Linked DNA regions of Anolis sagrei. The protein of the gene in region 1 interacts with the protein of each later gene in a pairwise test. Links are inferred from orthologs where the notes say so. Each region holds a gene or a part of one and is shown in the gene's direction. Other genes may lie near its edges. The genes, in order: ARHGEF11, PLXNB1 and PLXNB3.

Region 1 (7,616 bases):
TGATGGTGGTGAAGATGGCCATGAAGGTCTCATTCAAGGGTGTTGATGATGATGATAATGATGATGATGAAGATTGCACCAAGGGATTTGATAAGGATGATGGTGGTGAAGATGGCCATGAAGTTCTCATTCAAGGGGCTTGATGATGATGATAATGATGATGATGGCACGAAGAGGTTTGATGATGGGGATGATGGTGGTGAAGATGGCCATGGAGGAATCATTCAAGGGGATTGATTATGATGATGATAATGGTGGTGGTGGGGATGGCACCAAGGGGTTTGATGATGAGAATGATGGCAGTGAAGATGGCCATGAAGGAATCATTCAAGGGGCTTGATGATGAGGATGATGGTGATGGTGAGGATGGTAGCTAATACATTCAAGGGGTTTGATGATGGGGATGATGGTGGTGAAGATGGCCATGAAGTTCTCATTCAAGGGGCTTGATGATGATGATAATGATGATGATGGCACGAAGAGGTTTGATGATGGGGATGATGGTGGTGAAGATGGCCATGAAGGAATCATTCAAGGGGATTGATTATGATGATGATAATGGTGGTGGTGGGGATGGCACCAAGGGGTTTGATGATGAGAATGATGGCAGTGAAGATGGCCATGAAGGAATCATTCAAGGGGCTTGATGATGAGGATGATGGTGATGGTGAGGATGGTAGCTAATACATTCAAGGGGTTTGATGATGAGGCTGATAGTGGTGAAGATGGCCATGAAGTTCTCATTCAAGGGGCTTGATGATGATGATAATGATGATGATGGTACGAAGAGGTTTGATGATGGGGATGATGGTGGTGAAGATGGCCATGAAGTTCTCATTCAAGGGGCTTGATGATGATGATAATGATGATGATGGTACGAAGAGGTTTGATGGTGGTGAAGATGGCCATGAAGTTCTCATTCAAGGGGCTTGATGATGATGATAATGATGATGATGGTACGAAGAGGTTTGATGATGGGGATGATGGTGGTGAAGATGGCCATGAAGGAATCATTCAAGGGGTTTGATGATGAGAATGATGGTGGTGGTGAGGATGGTAGCTAATACATTCAAGGGGTTTGATGATGAGGCTGAGAGTGGTGAAGATGGCCATGAAGTTCTCATTCAAGGGGCTTGATGATGATGATAATGATGATGATGGTACGAAGAGGTTTGATGAGGAGGAGGATGGTGGTGAAGATACCATGAAGGAATCATTCAAGGGGCTTGATGATGATAATAATGATGATGGTACGAAGAGATTTGATGATGATGATGATGATAATGATAATGATGGTACGAAGAGGTTTGATGAGGAGGGTGATGGTGGTGAAGATGACCATGAAGGAATAATTCAAGGGGTTTGATGATGAGGATGATGGTGGTGAAGATGGCCATGGAATTCTCATTCAAGGGGCTTGATGATGATGATGATGATAATGATGATGGTGGTATGAAGGGGATCATGAGGATGATGGTGGTGGTGGGGTTGGTAGCTAATGCATTCAAGGGGTTTGATGATGAGGATCATGGTAGTGAAGATAGCCATGACGTTCTCATTCAAGGGGCTCGATGATGATAATAATGATGATGATGGTACGAAGGGGTTTGATTATGAGGATGATGGTGGTGAAGATGGCCATGAAGGAATCATTCAAGGGCCTTGATGATGATGATAATGATGACGATGAGGATGGCACCAAGGGGTTTGATGATAAGGATGATGGTGGCGAAGATGGCCATGAAGTTCTCATTCTAGGGGCTTGATGATGATGGTGGGGGGAGGGGGTGTGGCTCCAAGGTGTTTTGATCATGAGGATGATGGTGGTGAAGATGGCCATGAAGGAATCATTCAAGGGGCTTGATGATGATGATAATGATAATGATGATGATGGTACGAAGAGGTTTGATGATGAGGCTGATAGTGGTGAAGATGGCCATGAAGTTTCATTCAAGGGGCTTGATGATGATGATGATACTGATGATGATGGTACGAAGGGGTTTGATGATGAGGATGATGGTGGTGAAGATGGCCATGAAGGAATCATTCAAGGGGCTTGATGATGATGATAATGATGATGATGGTACGAAGAGGTTTGATGATGAGGCTGATAGTGGTGAAGATGGCCATGAAGTTTCATTCAAGGGGCTTGATGATGATGATGATACTGATGATGATGGTACGAAGGGGTTTGATGATGAGGATGATGGTGGTGAAGATGGCCATGAAGTTCTCATTCAAGGGCCTTGATGATGATGATAATGATGACGATGAGGATGGCACCAAGGGGTTTGATGATGAGGATGATGGTGGTGAAGATGGCCATGAAGGGGCTTGATGATGATAATAATGATGATGATGGTACGAAGAGGTTTGATGATGGGGATGATGGTGGTGAAGGTGGCCATGAAGTTCTCATTCAAGGGGCTTGATGATGATGATAATAATGATGATGGTACGAAGAGGTTTGATGATGGGGATGATGGTGGTGAAGGTGGCCATGAAGTTCTCATTCAAGGGGCTTGATGATGATGATGATAATGATGATGATGGTACGAAGAGGTTTGATGATGGGGATGATGGTGGTGAAGATGGCCATGAAGTTCTCATTCAAGGGGATTGATGATGATGATAATGATGATGATGGTACGAAGAGGTTTGATGATGGGGATGATGGTGGTGAAGATGGCCATGAAGTTCTCATTCAAGGGGCTTGATGATGATGATAATAATGATGATGGTACGAAGAGGTTTGATGATGGGGATGATGGTGGTGAAGGTGGCCATGAAGTTCTCATTCAAGGGGCTTGATGATGATGATGATAATGATGATGATGGTACGAAGAGGTTTGATGATGGGGATGATGGTGGTGAAGATGGCCATGAAGTTCTCATTCAAGGGGATTGATGATGATGATAATGATGATGATGGTACGAAGAGGTTTGATGATGGGGATGATGGTGGTGAAGATGGCCATGAAGGAATCATTCAAGGGATATGATGATGAGGATGATGGTGATGGTGAGGATGGTAGCTAATACATTCAAGGGGTTTGATGATGATGCTGATAGTGGTGAAGATGGCCATGAAGTTCTCATTCAAGAGGCTTGATGATGATGATAATGATGATGATGGTACGAAGAGGTTTGATGATGGGGATGATGGTGGTGAAGATGGCCATGAAGGAATCATTCAAGGGGTTTGATGATGAGGATGATGGTGGTGGTGAGGATGGTAGCTAATACATTCAAAGGGTTTGATGATGAGGCTGATAGTGGTGAAGATGGCCATGAAGGAATCATTCAAGGGACTTGATGATGATAATAATGATGATGATGGTACAAAGGGGTTTGATGATGAGGATGATGGTGGTGAAGATGGTCATGAAGTTCTCATTCAAGGGGCTTGATGATGATCATAATGATGATGATGATGATGGTATGAAGAGGTTTGATGATGAGGATGATGGTGGTGAAGATGGCCATGAAGGAATCATTCAAGGGGCTTGATGATGAGGATGATGGTGATGGTGAGGATGGTAGCTAATGCATTCAAGGGGTTTGATGATGAGGATGATGGTGGTGGTGAGGATGGTAGCTAATGCATTCAAGGGGTTTGATGATAAGGATGATGGTGGTAAACATGGCCATGAAGTTCTCATTCAAGGGGCTTCATGATGATGATAATGATGATGATGGTACGAAGAGGTTTGATGATGGGGATGATGGTGGTGAAGATGGCCATGAAGTTCTCATTCAAGGGGCTTGATGATGATAATAATGATGATGATGGTACGAAGGGGTTTGATGATGATAATAATGATGATGATGGTACGAAGAGGTTTGATGAGGATGATGGAGGTGAAGATGGCCATGAAGTTCTCATTCAAGGGGCTTGATGATGATGATGATGATAATGATGATGATGGTACGAAGAGGTTTGATGATGAGGATGATGGTGGTGAAGATGGCCATGGAATTCTCATTCAAGGGGCTTGATGATGATGATGATGATGATAATGATGATGGTGGTACGAAGAGGTTTGATGAGGAGGAGGATGGTGGTGAAGATGATAATGATGATGGTGGTACGAAGAGGTTTGATGAGGAGGAGGATGGTGGTGAAGATGATAATGATGATGGTGGTACGAAGAGGTTTGATGAGGAGGAGGATGGTGGTGAAGATGGCCATGAAGTTCTCATTCAAGGGGCTTGATAATGATAATAATGATGATGATGATGGTATGAAGAGGTTTGATGATGAGGATGATGGTGGTGAAGATGGCCATGAAGGAATCATTCAAGGGGTTTGATGATGAGGATGATGGCAACCAATACTGAACCTTCCAGGGGCTTGATGAGGAGGAGGATGGCAACTAATACATTCAAATGGGGGGTTGAGAAGGCAAAGGAGAAGGGCAGCAAATGCCTTATGAAGGTGATGATGATGGTGATGATGAGGATGATGGTGGGGATGCCTCCCTCTTCCTTCCTTCCTTCCTTCCTCCCTTCCTTCCCTCCCACCTGCTGCTGCTGCAGAGCCAGGGAAGCTCTTCCTGAGGGCGGGAGGAGGAGGAGGAGGAGGAAAAGAGGAGGAGGAGGAGGGCGGCTGTGGGAGGGATTATCTGGGAAGAAGGAGGAGGAAGAGGAGGAAGGAGAGGAGAAGGACCGAAGGGCAGGCAAAACAGGCAGGCAGGCGGGCCTAGGAGCCAAGCCACTTGCGGGTTCGGCTCTCCTTTCCCAGACCGGTGCTGCTTCCCCTCCCGGAGCCGAGGAAGGTCGGGGAGCCTCCCTACGCGAGGCCGGGGCTTCGCCGCTCCCGCTAGGCCTCTCCTTGGATTTCCCTCACTGGGGAAGGGGAAAAGGAGGAGGAGGAAGGTGAAGAAGGAGGACCTTCTTCTTCCTCGGACCCCGAAGCCAAGCTGGAGCAAGAGGAGGAGGAGGAGAAGAAGAAGGGGAAGGACCCACCGCTTTGGAGGACATCTTGGGGCTTTGGAAGAAGAAGAAGAAGAGGAGGAGGAGGGGGTATCACTGTCCTCTGCTCAGCCCTTCATTGATTCCCCTTAGTCCTCTATCCTGTACCTGCCTTGGCAGGAAAAGAAGTTTGCAATTACCTTATTATTATTAATATTAATATTATGATGATTATTATGATGTGTATTTTGCTTTTCTTTCCTTGGGAGTGATTTGTTGCATGGCTTTTTATTTATTAGCCCAAAGGAAGGACAAGGGAGGCTGCTTGAGAGTGAAATTGGGCATCTTTTTGGCAACCTGAAGACACACAAACACAGAGAGAGACCCAGGAATACAGATCTTTTCCATTGTCCCCCCTTCCCTCTTCCAACAGGAAGGACAGCTGGGAAAACTGGATTATTAGGATGTTTTGATCCCTATGACTTTAATGTTTTGGACGGGAACGCGTCTTTATTCCACCGGGTAGTATTTATAACCTTGGACAAAGTTTGCAGAGTTGTTTGTATTTTTATTTTTGGGGGCAACCACTTCCCCAAGGCCCAGAATTGATAACCTTGGACAAGGTTTGCAAAGTTATTTGTATTTTTTATTTTATTTTTTGGGGCAACCACTTTCCCAAAGCCTGGAACGCTGCATGGATATAAGGATGGACTCAAAGGCTCCGCCGTCTTGACTGCAAGAGACTAGTTTTCCTCCTTTGTGGTTAGGATTGGTAATAAAAATCCGCATCTGCGCAAAGGAAAAAGGCGTGCAAGCAGCCAAAGGATCCACCGCTGGCCAACCCCGGCCTTCTGGATTTGACTACAAACCATGAACATGCGGCCACCTCAGACTGCATTGGACAGGTATGTCAAATAGACAGGTTTAGCTCTTCCTTTGCTTACCAAAAATGGTTTGTTGTTGTAGGCTTTCATGGCCGGAATCACTGGTTTGCTGTGAGTTTTCCGGGCTGTACAGCCATGTCCCAGAAGCATTCTCTCCTGATGTTTCATCCACATCTATGGCAGGCATCCTCTCCTGACGTTCCACCTACATCTATGGCAGGCATCCTCAGAGGCTGTGAGGTCTGTTGTTGAAGGCATTCCTGGCCGGAATCACTGGGTTGCTGTGAGTTTTCCAGGCTGTACAGCCATGTCCCAGAAGCATTCTCTCCTGATGTTTCTCCCACATCTATGACAGGCATCCTCAGAGGCTGTGAGGTCTGTTGTTGAAGGCCTTCCTGCCCAGAATCATTGGGTTGCTGTAAGTTTTCTGGGCTGTACAGCCATGTCCCAGAAGCATTCTTTCCTGATGTTTCTCCCACATCTATGGCAGGCATCCTCAGAGGCTGTGAGGTCTGTTGTTGAAGGCTTTCATGGCCCGAATCGCTGGGTTGCTGTGAGTTTTCCGGGCTGTACAGCCATGTCCCAGAAGCATTCTCTCCTGACGTTCCACCTACATCTATGGCAGGCATCCTCAGAGGCTGTGAGGTCTGTTGTTGAAGGCATTCCTGGCCAGAATCACTGGGTTGCTGTGAGTTTTCTGTACAGCCATGTCCCATAATAATAATAATATCACCACAATCTGTCAACTGCAAAAAGCCACCTGACTTGGATCTCCACACATCATTTGTAAATACATCATACAGTCCTAGACGCTTGGGAAGTGTTCGACTTGTGATTTTGTGGGGAATCCTTTGTTGGGAGGTGTTAGCTGGCCCTGATTGTTTCTTGCCTGGAATTCCCCTGTTGCAATTTGTCATCTTGATTAGCATTTAATGAGCCAGCTAACACCTCCCTACAAAGGATTCCCCTAAGCAGTAACCAGCCAGGCTTTGAAGCTGCAAAGCCATTCATTGCTAATCAAGGTGATCAGTTGCAGCATTCACACTTGCCTCAAAAAGACAAGAATTCTTCCTCCTACCCATAACGTCTGAGGATGCCTGCCATAGATGTGGGTGAAACGTCAGGAGAGAGTGCTTCTGGAACATGGCCAGACAGCCCGGAAAACTCACAGCAACCTAGTGATTCCGGCCATGAAAAGCCTTCGACAACACATTGTCTTTCTTTCCTCGGTTTCTTTGGCCAATGGATGAATGGGCCAGCGTCGGCCTATGTGTGTATATGCGGAGGCGATGTCCAGGTTTTTTGGCCTTTGCTCAAGGAAGGCATTGGTAATGGTCATACGACTTGGCGTCCCTTGTCTCTCCCTCTTTCTCTGAGAAATACTTTTTTTGGGTCCGTTCCACACGGAAAGATGTCATGAAGTAATTGAACTCCGTGCCACTTGTCACTTTTTCCTTTCGGTTTTTTCTTGAGTTGTCAAAGTTTTCATGGCTGGAATCACTGGGTTGTTGTGACTTTTCCGGGCTGTGTGGCCATGTTCCAGAAGCATTCTCTCCTGATGTTTCTCCCACATCTATGGCAGGTATCCTCAGAGGTTTAAGGGTCTGTTGGAAACTAGGCAAGTGAGATTTGGAAAAATGTCCAGAGTGGGAGAAAGAACTCTTGTCTGATTGAGGTAAGTGTGAATGCTGCAATTGATCACTTTGATTAGCATTGAATGGCCTTGCAGCTTCAAAGCCTGGCTGGCTACTGCTTGAGGGAATCCTCTGTTGGGAGGTGTTAGCTGGCCCATTAAGGAGCCCCCGATGGCACAGTGGG
Region 2 (6,973 bases), on another chromosome or scaffold:
CATGACTGGACTTCATGTCAGGGGGAAACTTTTACATATGTGTGTGTGTGTGTGTGTGTGTGTGTATACACACACACACACACACATAATATATATAGGCCCTCTGGGTCCAAAGATTCTCTGTCCATGGATTCAATGCCCCTTTGAAGGCAACCCTAAGGCTGATGTGCTCCTCGATGAAAATGAGTTCAACACCCCTGACTTACCCACTTTCATCATTTAACTGGAAATGGGAAAACAACAAAAAAAACTTCAGCCATCCCTTTCCTTTGAAATGGGAAAACAACAAAAACCTTCAGCCATACCCTTTCATCCTCAACCTTTGAAACATCTCTCCCACAGTGAAGCAAAGGGTGGCCAGTTTCAGGAAACCCCTTGGTCATAACCATGAAGGAACTCGCACTACAAAGAGCTCTATTTAGCAATCCAAGGCCACTGCTACAAAGTAGAGGAGCCCACAAGTGTTGTTGAGGCTTGGCTTTATTAGCATGGCATACGCCAGTTTCCGAATGCTTCCTAGAAATAAATTTGACATCCGCTCATGGGCTCTGAATATTAATTGAACAGTGGTTTTCTTTCAAACTTAGCAACACTTTGGGCTTTGAGGAAACTGGAAACAATTGCCTGTAAAAACTTATCCCGGAATTGTGGTTTCTTTAGAAGCTCCTTTTGCAAATTGGGGCTGGAGGAAGCGGGGTTTTACTGAGCTGTTTCTTTGGGCTAGTAAGGTCATTACGGCCTTGTGACTGAGGCCACTATTAGCCAAGGTCAAAGAATGTCCTTCTTTTGCATTTCACTCCCCAAAAGCCAACTTTGTGGATAGAAACCCTCTTTCTGGTCTTCCAGCAAAACTTGGGGCATGAAAAAGGAATCCCTAGAGATTCTTGGAATACAGCTATAGTCTTGCCTCTTGTTGTTTTTCTCAGCAGCTTTGCACAAAAAAAAAGGACTATTGAACCAATTCAAGCGCTCTCTGGTTCCCAGGTACCCGTAATGAGGAAACTAATTTCCATGTTCAATTTGGGAGAGCAAGCTGGACGGGGGACTTTTTGTAGTTGCTGGAAAGCTGCCTGACCTCTGGAAAGTTTTCAGCCACCTCCTCCTTGCCTTTTCGGATAGAAACCACTCTTTCGCTGCTAGCCAAGAGAGCCCCGATGCCAGCTTACATTCATCTTGTGAACCAGCAGGGGGAATCACTGGCACCAAACCAGCGGCAGGACATTTCTCAAATTAGAGCTCACTCCGACACCCACAGCCCTGCAATGTGTCTGCAGTTTTCACAGAGCTTGTTGGCGATACAGTTATAAGTAACATGGCCACTGTGATTGGAAGAGAAAGAGGTGAATGAATATGTAAGAAAAGGACATTTATAAAGTACCACAACAACATAGTGTTTGGGCGTAATGAGTAGTATTTTCTAGCTGCCTTTTCAAAAAAGTGATGAAGACAGTCTGGGGATCTGTGAAATGACAGGCAGCTACAGCAGGGTATGCCCATGCATCCCCATAATGCTCAGTGCTCGGCCTTTTCAAATCCTCCCCTTATGATATTTTCAAGTCATTTGTGGTTGAATCCATAGATGCATAATCCATAAATATAAATTTATGTATTTATTTATTTTTAAAAAGGTAAAGGTTTTCCCCTGACATTAAGTCCAGCCGTGTCTGACTCTGGGAGTTGGTGCTCATTTCCATTTCGAAGTCGACGAGCCAGCATTGTCCATAGACTCCTCCAAGGTCATGACTGCATTGAGTGCTGTTACCTTCCTGCTCGTGCATTACCTATTGATCTACTCACATCTGCATGTTTTCAAACTGCTAGGTTGGAAGAAGCTGGAAACTCACGCCGCTCCCTGGATTAAAAACTGCTTCGGTCAACAAGTTTAACCCACCGGGGGGGGGGGGGGGGGGGGTGTCCCACTTCATTTATTTATTTATTTGTTTGTTTGTTTAATGTATTTATTTACCACTCTTCTCAACCCTGGGAGGACTACAACATACTAGTGGCAAAATTCAAAGCCAGACATACATGTAAAAATTAAAAATATCTCAACAATAATTTTTTTTCATGTCAGCCCCCCATGGGTTATACTCTTGTGCCGGCAGGACTGCTGACCGACAGATCAGCCATTCGAATCCGGGAAGAGCAGCTTGAGCTACCTCTGTCAGCTCCAGTTCCCTTTATAGGAAGGATGGTAAAACATCAAAAACATCTGGGCGTCCCCTGGGCAATGTCCTTGCAGATGGCCTATTCTCTCACACCAGAAGCGACAACAATAACATATTCCCAGAATAACATATAACTATGTGTTAAAATAAATTAAGACCATTAAACATAACACATACACAACATTTAGATATAGCATTAAAACATCCTAGTATAAACTTTAAAATCACATGATCAAAATCATAAACCGTAGCCATTCCAAGTTGTCAATTGCACATGTTCCCCAATTAGTCTTAAACTGCATTATTTTACTGGCCAAAGGCTTGGTCCCACAACCATGTCTTTCTGAAAACCAAGATGGAGCGCACTGATCTTATCTCAGTGGGGAGAGAGTTTCACAGCTGAGGAACCACCACTGAGAAGACCCTGTCTCTCCCCACCACACTTGCAAAGGAGGTGGGACCAAGAGCAGAGCCTCTCCACAGAAGATCTTAACCTCCATGATGGTTCATAGAGGGAGATAGATTCAGACAAGCAGAGCCGGAACAGTTTAGGGCTTTATAGGCTAAAGCCAGCACTTTGACTTGTGCTCAGTAGCAAACTGACAGCCAGTTGAGCTGACGCAACAGGGGGAATTGTATGTTCCCTGTACACCGCTCCGGTGAGAAATCTGGCTGCCGCTCAGGGACACTTGAAGCTTCCAAACAGTCTTCAAAGGCAACCCCATGTAGAGCGCATTGCAGTAGTCTATTCTCCATGTAACAAGAGCATGGACCACCATGTCCAAGTCTGACTTCACAAGCTACAGGCGTAACTGGCTGGCGCACAAGTTTTAATTGTGCAAAAGCTCCCCTGGTCACCATTGAAACCTGGGAACCTGTAACCCCAACCAGCACAGACTGTAACCCTATACCCAGTTCATCCTTGCGACTGACCAGAAGTGTCTATGTCAATTTCAATTTCTTCGCCCTCATCCAGACTAAAAAAGCTAACCTTTTTACAGAACCATGATTCTTTACCTTTGTCCGCAGTTTCATCTGGAGTTATTTGCATGTTGCTGTTCTCCTGTTCATGCTGTAAAAACTATTCTGATTTTCAACCCAAATGGGCAACCAGCTTGGTGATGATGTCACTTCATATGTTTACTTTTGCTCACCTCTGGGATGCTCCAGGAGACTTAAAAACTTCTCCCCTTCCTTAAGCTTAAGTGGCTGAGGGGGGAAAAGGAAGGGGCCTGAGGCTGTTAGGAATTGTGGGAGTTGGAGTCCAAAAAATCTGGAGGGACCAAGTCCAAAACATTTAGAGGGGCCAAGTTTGCCCGTGCCAGGTTTAAACTGTATTTTGAAAATCCTCATAAATAAGGAATTGAGAACCCATCCCCTTAGCCACTGAGCCCGCTCTCCTTTCCCACCTCTGCTCCTTTTCTCAGCCTCTCCCAGTTTTCTCTGGGGTGAAGCTGCATTCTGGGCCCAGGCCTGGCAGCCAATGAATGGACCACACTGTTTGGGAATGAATGCTCTGAGCTGTGACAGACAGGCACTTGCTCTCAGTGAAAGCCCTGTCTTTACGCTGCTCCAAAGACATGGAACATACAAACACAGTTCTCCACTCCAGACCAAGATTGGGACAGGAAGAAAAGGCTACTTTTTTCCCAACCTTTCTTTTTAATGTGGCCCCCACTCTCCTCTCCTCTCCCCTCCGCCCCTCCCCTCCCTGTCCTTTAAATGAAGCTTGCAAGGGGACTCTGTACCAGGCTGAATGGGCTGCAGGCAAGGATTGGCTCCGGAGGAGAGGTACAAAGGGGATTAGTGTTTAAAAGTCATGAATGGATCAGAGCAAGGCAAGAAGTGTGTTTTTGGCTCCGTCTCCTAGTTACCAGTTTGGGATTTGGGTGGGAGAAAAAACTCTGCCCAAGTCTGGGAGCAGAGAAAATGTTTGTGTGACCGTGGCAGGCCAAAGAAAGTCCTCTGCTGTGAGATCAGTTTGTGTAATTTGGATCTCTCTTTTCTTTCCCTTGTGAGGGAATGGAAAGCCGGAAAAAAGGGCTTGAGTGAGTGCCTTTGCTATTTCGCTTGCATGTGTGGTGTTCTAAACGGAGATGGGACACCTTTGCGTTTATAGTGCAATCCTTTGTGACCTAGTTTTACCCACTCAACATATTTGACTGGGGTGCTTCTGTACAAAAGGCTTTTCCAGCTAGCCTTTTGTTATTTTTTGCTAGCTTGGATACCCAGCGTTGCCCAGGTTATTGGAAAAAGTCATTTTTTAAATTCTACAAAATGCATAAAGTCATGCCAGGTTAACCCCAAGAAACTCCATCAGTACTTAAAGTTTGTTATGTTGGTCAAGTTTGCTCTAGATATATCATCAGTGGGGTTTGGTGTGCTCTCTGGCTACTACAACTCCTACTATCGTGAGTCAGCCCCCTTAAACCCCTCCAGTAGGTTGAGTTAATCATAGGGGATCTGTGTGCCAAGTTTGGAACAGGTCTATCATCGGTGGAGGTCACAGTTTCTCTGGTTGTGGGTGAACTACAAATCCCAGAAAGGAAGGTCAGTTCCCCCTAAACCCCTGCAGTAATCAAGTTTCAGCATATCAGGTATGTGTGCCAAGTTTGGTCCAGATCCCTCAGTGTTTGGTTCAGATCCATTGATGTTTGGGTTCACAATGCTCTCTGGATGTAGGTGAACTACAAGTCCCCTAAATGAAGTTGTATTTTTCCCAAAGACCTCCAGTGGGTTTTTTTTTTGTTTTGGTTTTTTTGCTAGCCATGGGGGTTCTGTGTGCCAAGTGTGGTCCAATTCCATCTTTGGTGGAGTGCAGAATGCTAATTGATTGTAGGTTAACTATAAATCCCAGTACCTACAACTCCAAAATATCCAGGCCAATTTCCCGCAAAACCCAGCACCACCCCTCAGAGTAGGACACGACTTACTCTGTCAAGGGGAAACCTTTATCTATTTATTCCAAAGCAAGGGGGAACCTTTACCTATTTATTCCAAAGCAAATTGCTGTACTCTCCAATCGTCAAGTGTTCTTCCTCATTAAATAAGTTTGCCATCTTGATCACACTGTGATGTTGGTCGCCTTGGTAGATGATCTTCGCAGGGAACTGGACAGGGGGAGTGTGTCCCTGTTAGTTCTGCTGGACCTCTCAGCGGCTTTCGATACCGTCGATCACGGTATCCTTCTGGGTCGCCTCATGGATATGGGGCTCGGGGGCACCGCTTTACAGTGGCTCCGATCCTTCCTTGAGGGACGGACCCAGAAGGTGTTATTGGGTGACACCTGTTCGGCCCCACAACCGTTGTTGTGTGGAGTCCCACAGGGTTCAATTTTGTCCCCGATGTTATTTAACATCTATATGAAGCCGTTGGGAGAGATCATTCGGAGTTTCGGAATGAGATGTTATCTCTACGCAGATGATGTCCAAATCTGTCACTCCTTCCCACCTGTCACCAAGGAGGCTGTCCAGACCTTGAACCGGTGTTTAGCCGCTGTATCGGACTGAGAGCTAACAAATTGAAATTGAATCCAGACAAGACAGAGGTCCTACTGGTCAGTCGTAAGGCCGAACAGGGTATAGGGTTACAGCCTGTGTTAGATGGGGTTACACTCCCCCTGAAGACGCAGGTTCGCAGCTTGGGAGTGATCCTGGACTCATCGCTGAGCCTGGAACCCCAGGTCTCAGCGGTGGCCGGGAGAGCTTTCGCACAATTAAAACTTGTGCGCCAGCTGCGCCCGTACCTTGAGAAGCCAGATCTGGCCACGGTGGTCCACGCTCTTGTCACATCCCGGCTGGATTACTGCAACGCACTCTACGTGGGGTTGCCTTTGAAGACTGCTCGGAAACTACAATTAGTCCAGCGAGAAGCAGCCAGATTGCTCACTGGAGCGGCGTACAGGGAGCATACAACCCCCTGTTGCGTCAGCTCCACTGGCTGCCGATCCAATTCCAAGTACAATTCAAAGTGCTGGTTTTGACCTACAAAACCCTATACGGTTCCGGCCCAGTGTATTTGTCCGAACGGATCTCCCTCTACGTCCCACCTCGAAGCTTAAGATCTTCTGGGGAGGCCCTGCTCTCGACCCCGCCACTGTCACAAGTGAGGCTGGCGGGGACGAGGAGTAGGGCCTTCTCAGTGGTGGCCCCCCACCTGTGGAACTCACTCCCCGGGGAGATTAGATCGTCATCTTCCCTTTTGGCGTTTAGGAAAAAACTGAAGACCTGGATCTGGGATCAAGCCTTTGGTCATTCTGACAGCTAACTGAAGGATCTGATGTTAGACAAGGACAAATGGAATGGAATGGATATATGGACTCTGAACCCTGAGCATGAGACTGTTTTATTGTTTTTATTATGTACTGATGTTTTTAATTAATTGTTGAATTGTTTGTATTTGTATTGTTTGTGAATTGCCTTGGGCATCTAATTGTGCCCCCATTGTAAGCCGCCCTGAGTCCCCCTCGGGGTGAGAAGGGCGGGGTATAAGTAAATGAAATAAATAAATAAATAAATAAATAAATAAAATTGTTGGCTACACATGTCCTGACGTCTTGTGTGAAATGTTCAAAAGGATGCACAATGGTGTCACCAGGGTTGGTCTCAACCAGTGTGGGAACACACTTTGTCATATCCATGGACTTCCTCCCACAGCAGACCACATCACAATACTACAGATGAAATACCAGAAAAATGGAGAAAATTAGCTTCTCTAAAAACAATCAGCAACAAAAACAACAGTTCAAGCTTATAGCGCCTGCAGATGAAACAATGTAATTTGAAGCATGTCTATAAATGGGCCTG
Region 3 (7,812 bases), on another chromosome or scaffold:
AATACGGCCCTTCAGTGTCATTTACCCGGCCCTCGCTTAGGGTCAATCTAAGTCTGAAACGACTTGAAAGCATACCACAACAACAACAATCCTATCACATCAGTCAAAGGCCCCCGGTGGCGCAGTGGGTTAAAGCCCTGTGCTGGCAGGACTGAAGACCGTCAGGTCGCAGGTTCAAATCTGGGGAGAGGCGGAGGAGCTCCCTCTATCAGCTCCAGCTCCTCATGCGGGGACATGAGAGAAGCCTCCCACAAGGATGATAAAAACATCAAATCATCCAGGCGTCCCCTGGGCAACGTCCTTGCAGACGGCCAATTCTCTCACACGAGAAGCGAATTGCAGTTTCTCAAGTCGCTCCTGACACGACAAAAAAAAAAAAAAGTCAAAAGCAGGGCCACACTTCCCATTGAAATACTAATAAGTTTATATTTGTTAAAATTGTTCTTCATTTTAATTATTGTATTGCTTTTAAGTGTTTTTTGCACTACAAATAATATATGTGCAGTGTGCATATGAATTCACTCATGTTTTTTTTCAAATTATAATCCGGCCCTCCAACAGTTTGAGGGATTGCGACCTGGCCCTCTGTTTAAAAAGTTTGAGGACCCCTGGACTAGATGAAGCAACACCTTGAACTGGGGGGGGGGGGTCAAACTCATTTTCATCAGGGCCCACGCCAGCCTTATGGTTGCCTTCAAAGGGCTGTTGAGTCCATGGATGGAGAATTATACAGAGGGCCAACTATATTTTTTTTAACCCAGTGGTTGATGCTCTTTAGTTTTAGCCCAGTTTGGGTCCCCAGATGTTATTGAACAATAACTCTCTTAACTTTTGATTATCTCCCATGCAGCCTGGGGATAATGGGAATTGCAACATAAGAGCACTTTGGCTCTGAGCTTTGGGAAAGTTTGAAGGTCATTTCAAAATCAGACATTGTATCCACAAGCCTTGTATCTGAATTCAAACACCACTATGCTGAGTAAATAGAACAAACTCCAGCTTCCCAGATGTTAGCTCTAGTCATGATGTGTAATGATGAGGAGTTGCAGTCCAGCATTTGGAGAGCCGCATAAAAGGACATGGTGGGCCAGATTCGGCCTACAGGTCTTGAATTTGACACCTATATCTTAAACTCTTGATTCTTTTCTGTGTGTGTGTCTAGCTATATACATATGCAGTATTCCTGGTTTTCTCTCTAAGAACCTCTTTACCAGTGGTTCTCAACCTTCCTAATGCCACGACCCCTTAATACAGTTTCTCATGCTGTGGTGACCCCCAACCATTAAATTATTTTCATTGCTACTTCATAATTGTGGTTTTGCTAATGTTATGAATCGTTATGTAAATATCTGATATGCAGGATGTATTTTCATTCACTGGACCAAATTTGCCACAAATACATGGTTAGCTCAAATTTGAACGTACCAACTCCACCAACGATGGAATTGAACCAAATTTGGCACACAGAACTCCCATGACTGACAGAAAATACTGGAAGGGTTTGGTGGTCATTGACTTTGAGTTTTGGAGTTGTAGTTCACCTACATCCAGAGAGCACTGTGGACTCAAACAATGATGGATCTGGACCAAACTTGGCATGAATACTCAATTTGCCCAAATGCGAATACTGGTGGAGTTTGGGGAAAATAGGCCTTGACATTTGGGTGTTGTAGTTGCTGATTTTTATAGTTCACCTACAATCAAATAGCTTTCTGTACTCCACCAATGAGAGAACAAACTTCCCACACCGACCAAAAGAAAATACTATGTTTTCTAGTTGTCTTGGCAACCCCTCTGACGCTCCCCTTGTGACCCCCCCAGGGGTCCCGACCCCCAGGTTGAGAAATGCTGATTTAGTGCCTGAATTTATTGCAGTGTGTGCATGCATGTCTTTGTGTGGCACACCAAGGTCCAAACTATGGCAAAATTCTTTCAAACAAAGCCTACTGGAGTGAGATGGACTTCCCCATTTGTTGGGTCTCACTGATTAGGGGCCCATTCATACTACACAATCATAGTACTATGATTTCACTTTGACTGCCAGAATAACAATCTATGGCAGTGGTTCTCAACCTCTGGGTCCCCAGATGTTTTGGCCTCAACTCCCAGAAATCCTAACAGCTGGTAAACTGGATTTCTGGGAGTTGAGGCCAAAATACCTGGGGACCCACAGGCTGAGAACCACTGATCTATGGTATCCTGGAATCTGTAGATTGGGAAGAGATGGCGTCCTGGTCTGATTCTGAGCACAAAGATTTGAATCTTGGCCATGGAAACCCACTGGGTGACCTTGGACAAGTCACACTCTTTCATCCCCAGAGGAAAACAAAGGCAAACCTTCCTATGATCAAATCTTGGCAAGAAAACCCTGCAATAGGTTTGCCTTTAGAGTTGCCATGCAACCTGAAGACGCACAACAAGAGGCTCTGACCAAACTATCAAACTCAAGTTACACATGGCAGTTCAAGTGGATTCACTGTGTTGCAATCAGAGGGTGTGCAGAGACTCCTTAGTTTCTTACCCTACTACCACTATGTAGTTTTCTCACTTTGGAACTGATTCTGAAGCCCATCTTGGAACTATTACTGTTTTTGGACTATAACTGGTGATGGAACTTGGGAATTTGGGGGATCTAAAAGAGACATTTTCTTAAGCTCTGTTCAGGAACATGAGCGACAGCAGGACTGACTGTGCAAACCTCTGAACAGCTTTTGAGCTGACTATGCAATGAGGCTTCTGTTGGCTGGGCAGGTGACGGCACTCAGTGCCAATCTGCAGATGTCCGGCTAATCCTCGCTAACACCTCTCTTCCAACCTCAATCCCTGGAAGCAGCCCTCTTCCACGCAATTATTATATCCTCCCAACACTAGCAATTCCATTAAAACCCCATCGACCCTTCTCTGCAAGAAGCCGCAGAATCTGGGGCATTTGGCATGAGCAGAGACAGGCACGATATTTCCCATATGGGAGTGGGAGCAAGATTAATATTGTTGCCAACCAAGGGGGTGATGGCAAGAATTAGGGATGAGGGGAGAGGCTAGAAACAGAGAAGCAGAAAGTAAACATATTGTGTGTATATGTAAATATATAGTTCTAAGCCCTCCATACTTCCAGATTTGTCTTCTACAGGTTTGAATTCTGTGGATTTTATTAAAATATTGTCTCCTGGAGCTGAAGTTCTCCACTGTAATTAGATGATCAACTACTGCGAAAAGTTGATTGTAGAGTAATGCTGGGGATCTACAGCATCATTTCCCAACATTGTGGTCGTGACCCGGGGGGGGGGGGGGGTTTCAGGAGAAGGTGTCAGAGGGGTTGCCAAAGACCATCAGAAAACACGGTATTTCCTGTTGGTCATGGGCGTTCTGTGTAGGAAGTTTGGTACAATTCCATCGTTGGTAGGATTCAGAATGCTCTTTGATTGTAGGTAAATTATAAATCCCAGCAACTACAACTCCCAAATGTCAAGGCCTATTTTCCCCAAACTCCACCAGTATTCGCATTTGGGCATATTGAGTATTCATGCCAAGTTTGGTCCATACCCATCATTGCTTGAGTCCACAGTGCTCTCTGGATGTAGGTGAACTACATCTCCAAAACTCAAGGTCAATGCCCACCAAACCCTTCCAGTATTTTCTGTTAGTCATGGGAGTTCTGTTTGCCAAATTTGGTTCAATTCCATCATTGCTGGAGTTCAGAATGCGCTTTGATTGTAGGTGAACTATAAATCCCAGCAAGTACAGCTCCCAAACTGGAGCCCCTGGTGGCACAGTGCTTGTTGAACAAAAGATCATAGGTTCGAAGCTGAGCTTGTTGAACAAAAGATCACAGGTTTGAAGCTGAGCTTGTTGAACAAAAGATCACAGGTTTGAATCTGGGGGGTGGCGTGAGCTTCTGCTGTCAGCCCCAGCTTCTGCCAACCTAGCAGTTCGAAAACATGCAAATGTGAGTAGATCAATAGGTACTGCTCCGGTGGGAAGGTAACTGCACTCCATGCAGTCATGCTGGCCACATGACCTTGGAGGTGTCTATGGACAACGCCAGCTCTTCAGCTTAGAAATTGAGATGAGCACCACACCCCAGAGTTGGACATGAAGTCCAACTCCAGAGTTGGACTTAATGTCAGGGGAAAATCTTTACCTTTATCTTACAACTCCCAAATGATAAAATCATCCGGCCTCAACCCCACAAGTATTCAGATTTGGGCGGATCGGATATTTGTGCCAAATTTGGTCCAGTGAATGAAAATACATCCTGCATATCCGATATTTACGTAACAGTAGCAAAATTACAGTGGTGAAGTGGCAACGTGAATAATGTTATGGTTGGGGGTCACCACAACAGGAGGAACTGTATTAAGGGGTCTTGGCATTAGGAGGCTTGAGAAATCCTAAATTTTAGGAGTCTGAGCCAGGAGGAAAGCCGAAACAGGTTTTGAAAACAAACTTCAAATTTGGGAATGAGTCTGTAAATCTTTTGTGTTTTGCACTTTGGCTTGTTTTTGCCTTGCTTTAAAATGCCTTGAGTTCAAAAATACAGAGTTCCAAAGGACCCCCTGAGCTCCCAGGAAACCAGGCACGGCCACACCCACATTTCTGCCCATCTCTTTTTCTTTCTGCCCCTTCCATTAATCAATAACGCCATGCAAACAAATGACAAGGGCTTCCTCTGTTCCCCACCCTGGGGCGAGACACAAGTCCTGACCTGTCCATTTCTCCTGCTGCTTCAGCCTCTGTCCCGACACCCGTCTGATCAGCTGATGCCCTGGCTGGCTTGCAATAGCTGCCTTCTTCTTTCTCCTCTCTCTCTCTCTCTCTGGCAGTGGCCTTCATTCTTCACCCACAACCTCCCCATTCCCTCCACCCCGTGTTCATTTTCTCTGGGGTGCCAGGGTCATGTGTCTCAATGCTGTGAGAGCTCTATTGCTGTGGGATAAAGGGCCCCTTGAGCCCCCGTGTGGCTCTGTGATGGCACAGCCGAGAGGGGAACAGTGGGGGCTTTGATGGGAGGGGGGACGCTGATCACAGCAGCCATTGATACAGCCTTGAATTGCCATCTAACCCCAGCCCCCCTCCATATCAACTCACACACTGCCTTATCGCTTTCTTCTAGGGATGTCCGCGGAGCCCTACGGCTGCTGCCACTGCCTGACGTTACCATGCGGGAGCTGAAATGTGCTCAGCGTGGCCAGCGGGTAAGTGCAGGGAAGCGATACGCGCGTGGGACCAAAATGGGATTGAACGGTGGAGATCGGAGCCTGCCGGCGGTTGCAACTCCTGAGTCTGAATCCGATATCGGTCCCAAATAGAGGAAATAATTGCATCCGTTAAACTTACACACATATTGGGCGACTCAGTTGTCATTTAATCAGTGAGTGTATTCTAGTTTGGACTAACAGTGGGATTTCAGTCCGGGATTCCTTCTCTGGGAGGAAAAGGTGGGCTGGCATGTTGTGAAGTAAAGTTAGTATTGGAAAGATCCAGTTCTCTTCGGTGACATCTTTCTCTGTCAGATACTATTTGTGATACAAACATTAGTATCACAGAATAAATTCTTGCAAAATGTATTGTCGAAGGCTTTCATGGCTGGAATCACTAGGTTCTTGTGGGTTTTTTCGGGCTATAGAGCCATGTCCTAGAGGCATTTCTCCTGACGTTTCGCCTGCATCTATGGCAAGCATCCTCAGAGGTAGTGCAAAATGCCTTCAGAAGCACTTTATTTTACCTGTTAGTGCAGTCAAACCCTACTTTATCCTCCGTATCCCCTGTCCAGATATATTACACTGCTGTCTCACCCAGTGTTTTAATTTTTTTATTCTATTGTAACCGTCCCTGCCCACTGTGATCGATTGCGATTTACTTTGTTTGATGTGTTATTTATAATGGTTTTTGCATTGAATTTTTATTTTCTTTATATTTTATTGCTGTGTTCTGTTGTATATTGATGTATTGTATTGCTGGGCTTGGCCTCATGTAAGCTGCCCCGAGTCCCCTTGGAGAGATGGTGGCGGGGTATAAATAAAGTATTATTATTATTATTATTATTATTATTATTATTACTAGCTGCCCCTGCCACACGTTGCTGTGGCCCAGTCTGTGTATATGTGTTTTGTGTACCTTTTCAAATGTACCTTTTTCATTGCTATCTCATTTTATGTCGTTCATTTGGCCCGCCCACTGTGTTCAATTTTCCATTATGTTATTTTGTACTGTTTATTTACTTTATTGGTTTATTTATTTTAACTGTGATGTTATTTTGCTGTTTATGTTGTTGTAATGTATCATTGGGCTTGGCGAGTCCCCTTTGGAGAGAAGGTGGCGTGGTATAAAGTTTATTATTATTATTATTATTATTATTATTATTAATGTATTTTTTGGGTTTTTTGTCATTTTGAGTCCCTTCTGCTGTGTTTTTCAATGTTTTTATGAGTGATGGTCACTCATTGGCCTGATGGGTGTCTTGTGTCCAAATTTGGTGTCAATTCATCCAGTGGTTTTTGAGTTATGTTAACCCCACAAACGAACATTACATTTTTATTTATATAGATTACTAGCTGTACCTGCCACGCGTTGCTGTGGCCAACCTTCCCTCTTTCTCTCCTTCTTTCCCTCCTTCCTTCACTCCCTCTTTCCTTCCTTCCTTCCCATCTTTCCTTCTCTATCTCTTTCCTTCCTTCCCCCTTTTTCTTTCTCTTCTGCTGTCTCTCCTTCCTTTTTCTCTTTCCTTCCTTCTTTCCCTTCCTCTTTCTCTACATCTTCCCCCTTCCTTCGCTCCCTCTTTCTGTTTTTTCTTTCTTTCTCTCCTTCCTTCCTTCTCTAACTTTCCTTCCTCTTTTTTCCCTCCCTCTTTCTCTCCTTTCTTCCTCCTCTACCTCTCTCCTTCCTTCTGTCTTTGCTTCCATGCTTCCTTCTCCCTTTCCTTCTTTCTTTCTTTCTTTCTTTCTTTCCCTCCCTCGTTTCTTTCTTTTTTTTCTTTCTTTCTTGCTTTCTTTCTTTTCTCCCCTCCCTCTTTCTTCCTTTTTCTGTATTATCATTTAGCTTTTGGGGGCTTTTAAAGTCCCTTCTGCGTTTTTCAGTGTTTTTATGAGTGAAGGACATACATTGGGTTGTTAGGTGTCTTGTGTCCAAATTTGGTGTCCATTCCCCCAGTGGTTTTTGAGTTCTGTTAATCCCACAAACGAACATTACATTTTTATTTATATAGATTATTATATCGAAGCACATGCTTTGGTAACATTCTGTGACGTTATAATTCCTGAGTGTCCATATGTGTGTCTCACTCTCATTCAGCACATATAATTTCCAGTTGGCAGACAATATGACTTCCAGTTGGCAGACAATATTTCTTCTCGGACTTTGTGATCCCCTTGTTACTATATTTCGTAATGTAATAGAAGAGATCTGGATGATTCAAAGAGATCTCCAGATCTCTTCAAATAGAAGAGATCTGGATGATTCAAAAGCTCGCCCATGTTGTGAGGCTTTTATTTAGCCGAAACACTAACAAAGATGTTGGAATTCTTTTTTCCTTCTTCAGACAACTAACTCTGCTTTAGGTTGCTTCCATGCGAAGTGAGTATATTGGAACTGGCGTCCCGCACACGCATATGTTTCCATTCCCCTGGAAATGTACGCGGGAGAGGGGCGCCTTTTGTCTCCTTCGCAGCCCCACCCCTTTGCCATTGTCTGTGAATGCGTCTCGCGCACCTTCCCCAGGGAGGTGTGTGTTTGCATGAAGGAGAGTGCGTATATGTATGGTGGTGATGTTACTACGCTGCTGCCTCTGCTCCCTTCCAGCTGTGGCCAGAAGGC

Evidence for each region.
Region 2: the proteins of ARHGEF11 (region 1) and PLXNB1 interact in a two-hybrid assay, tested with the Homo sapiens proteins (2 studies listed by BioGRID). The link is inferred for Anolis sagrei from reciprocal best matches to the Homo sapiens genes ARHGEF11 and PLXNB1.
Region 3: the proteins of ARHGEF11 (region 1) and PLXNB3 interact in a two-hybrid assay, tested with the Homo sapiens proteins (2 studies listed by BioGRID and IntAct). The link is inferred for Anolis sagrei from reciprocal best matches to the Homo sapiens genes ARHGEF11 and PLXNB3.

Annotation. Positions count from the first base shown.
Region 1 is NC_090032.1:11,723,607-11,731,222, forward strand, and holds the start of ARHGEF11 (rho guanine nucleotide exchange factor 11), read left to right. Parts: upstream 1-4,601; 5' UTR 4,602-5,784; coding exon 5,785-5,819; intron 5,820-7,616. UniProt on the Homo sapiens protein: May play a role in the regulation of RhoA GTPase by guanine nucleotide-binding alpha-12 (GNA12) and alpha-13 (GNA13). Acts as guanine nucleotide exchange factor (GEF) for RhoA GTPase and may act as GTPase-activating protein (GAP) for GNA12 and GNA13.
Region 2 is NC_090022.1:26,208,168-26,215,140, forward strand, and holds the start of PLXNB1 (plexin-B1), read left to right. Parts: upstream 1-3,921; 5' UTR 3,922-3,959; intron 3,960-6,973. UniProt on the Homo sapiens protein: Receptor for SEMA4D. Plays a role in GABAergic synapse development. Mediates SEMA4A- and SEMA4D-dependent inhibitory synapse development. Plays a role in RHOA activation and subsequent changes of the actin cytoskeleton.
Region 3 is NC_090022.1:178,016,095-178,023,906, forward strand, and holds the start of PLXNB3 (plexin-B3), read left to right. Parts: upstream 1-4,753; 5' UTR 4,754-4,906; coding exon 4,907-4,911; intron 4,912-5,113; coding exon 5,114-5,195; intron 5,196-7,812. UniProt on the Homo sapiens protein: Receptor for SEMA5A that plays a role in axon guidance, invasive growth and cell migration. Stimulates neurite outgrowth and mediates Ca(2+)/Mg(2+)-dependent cell aggregation.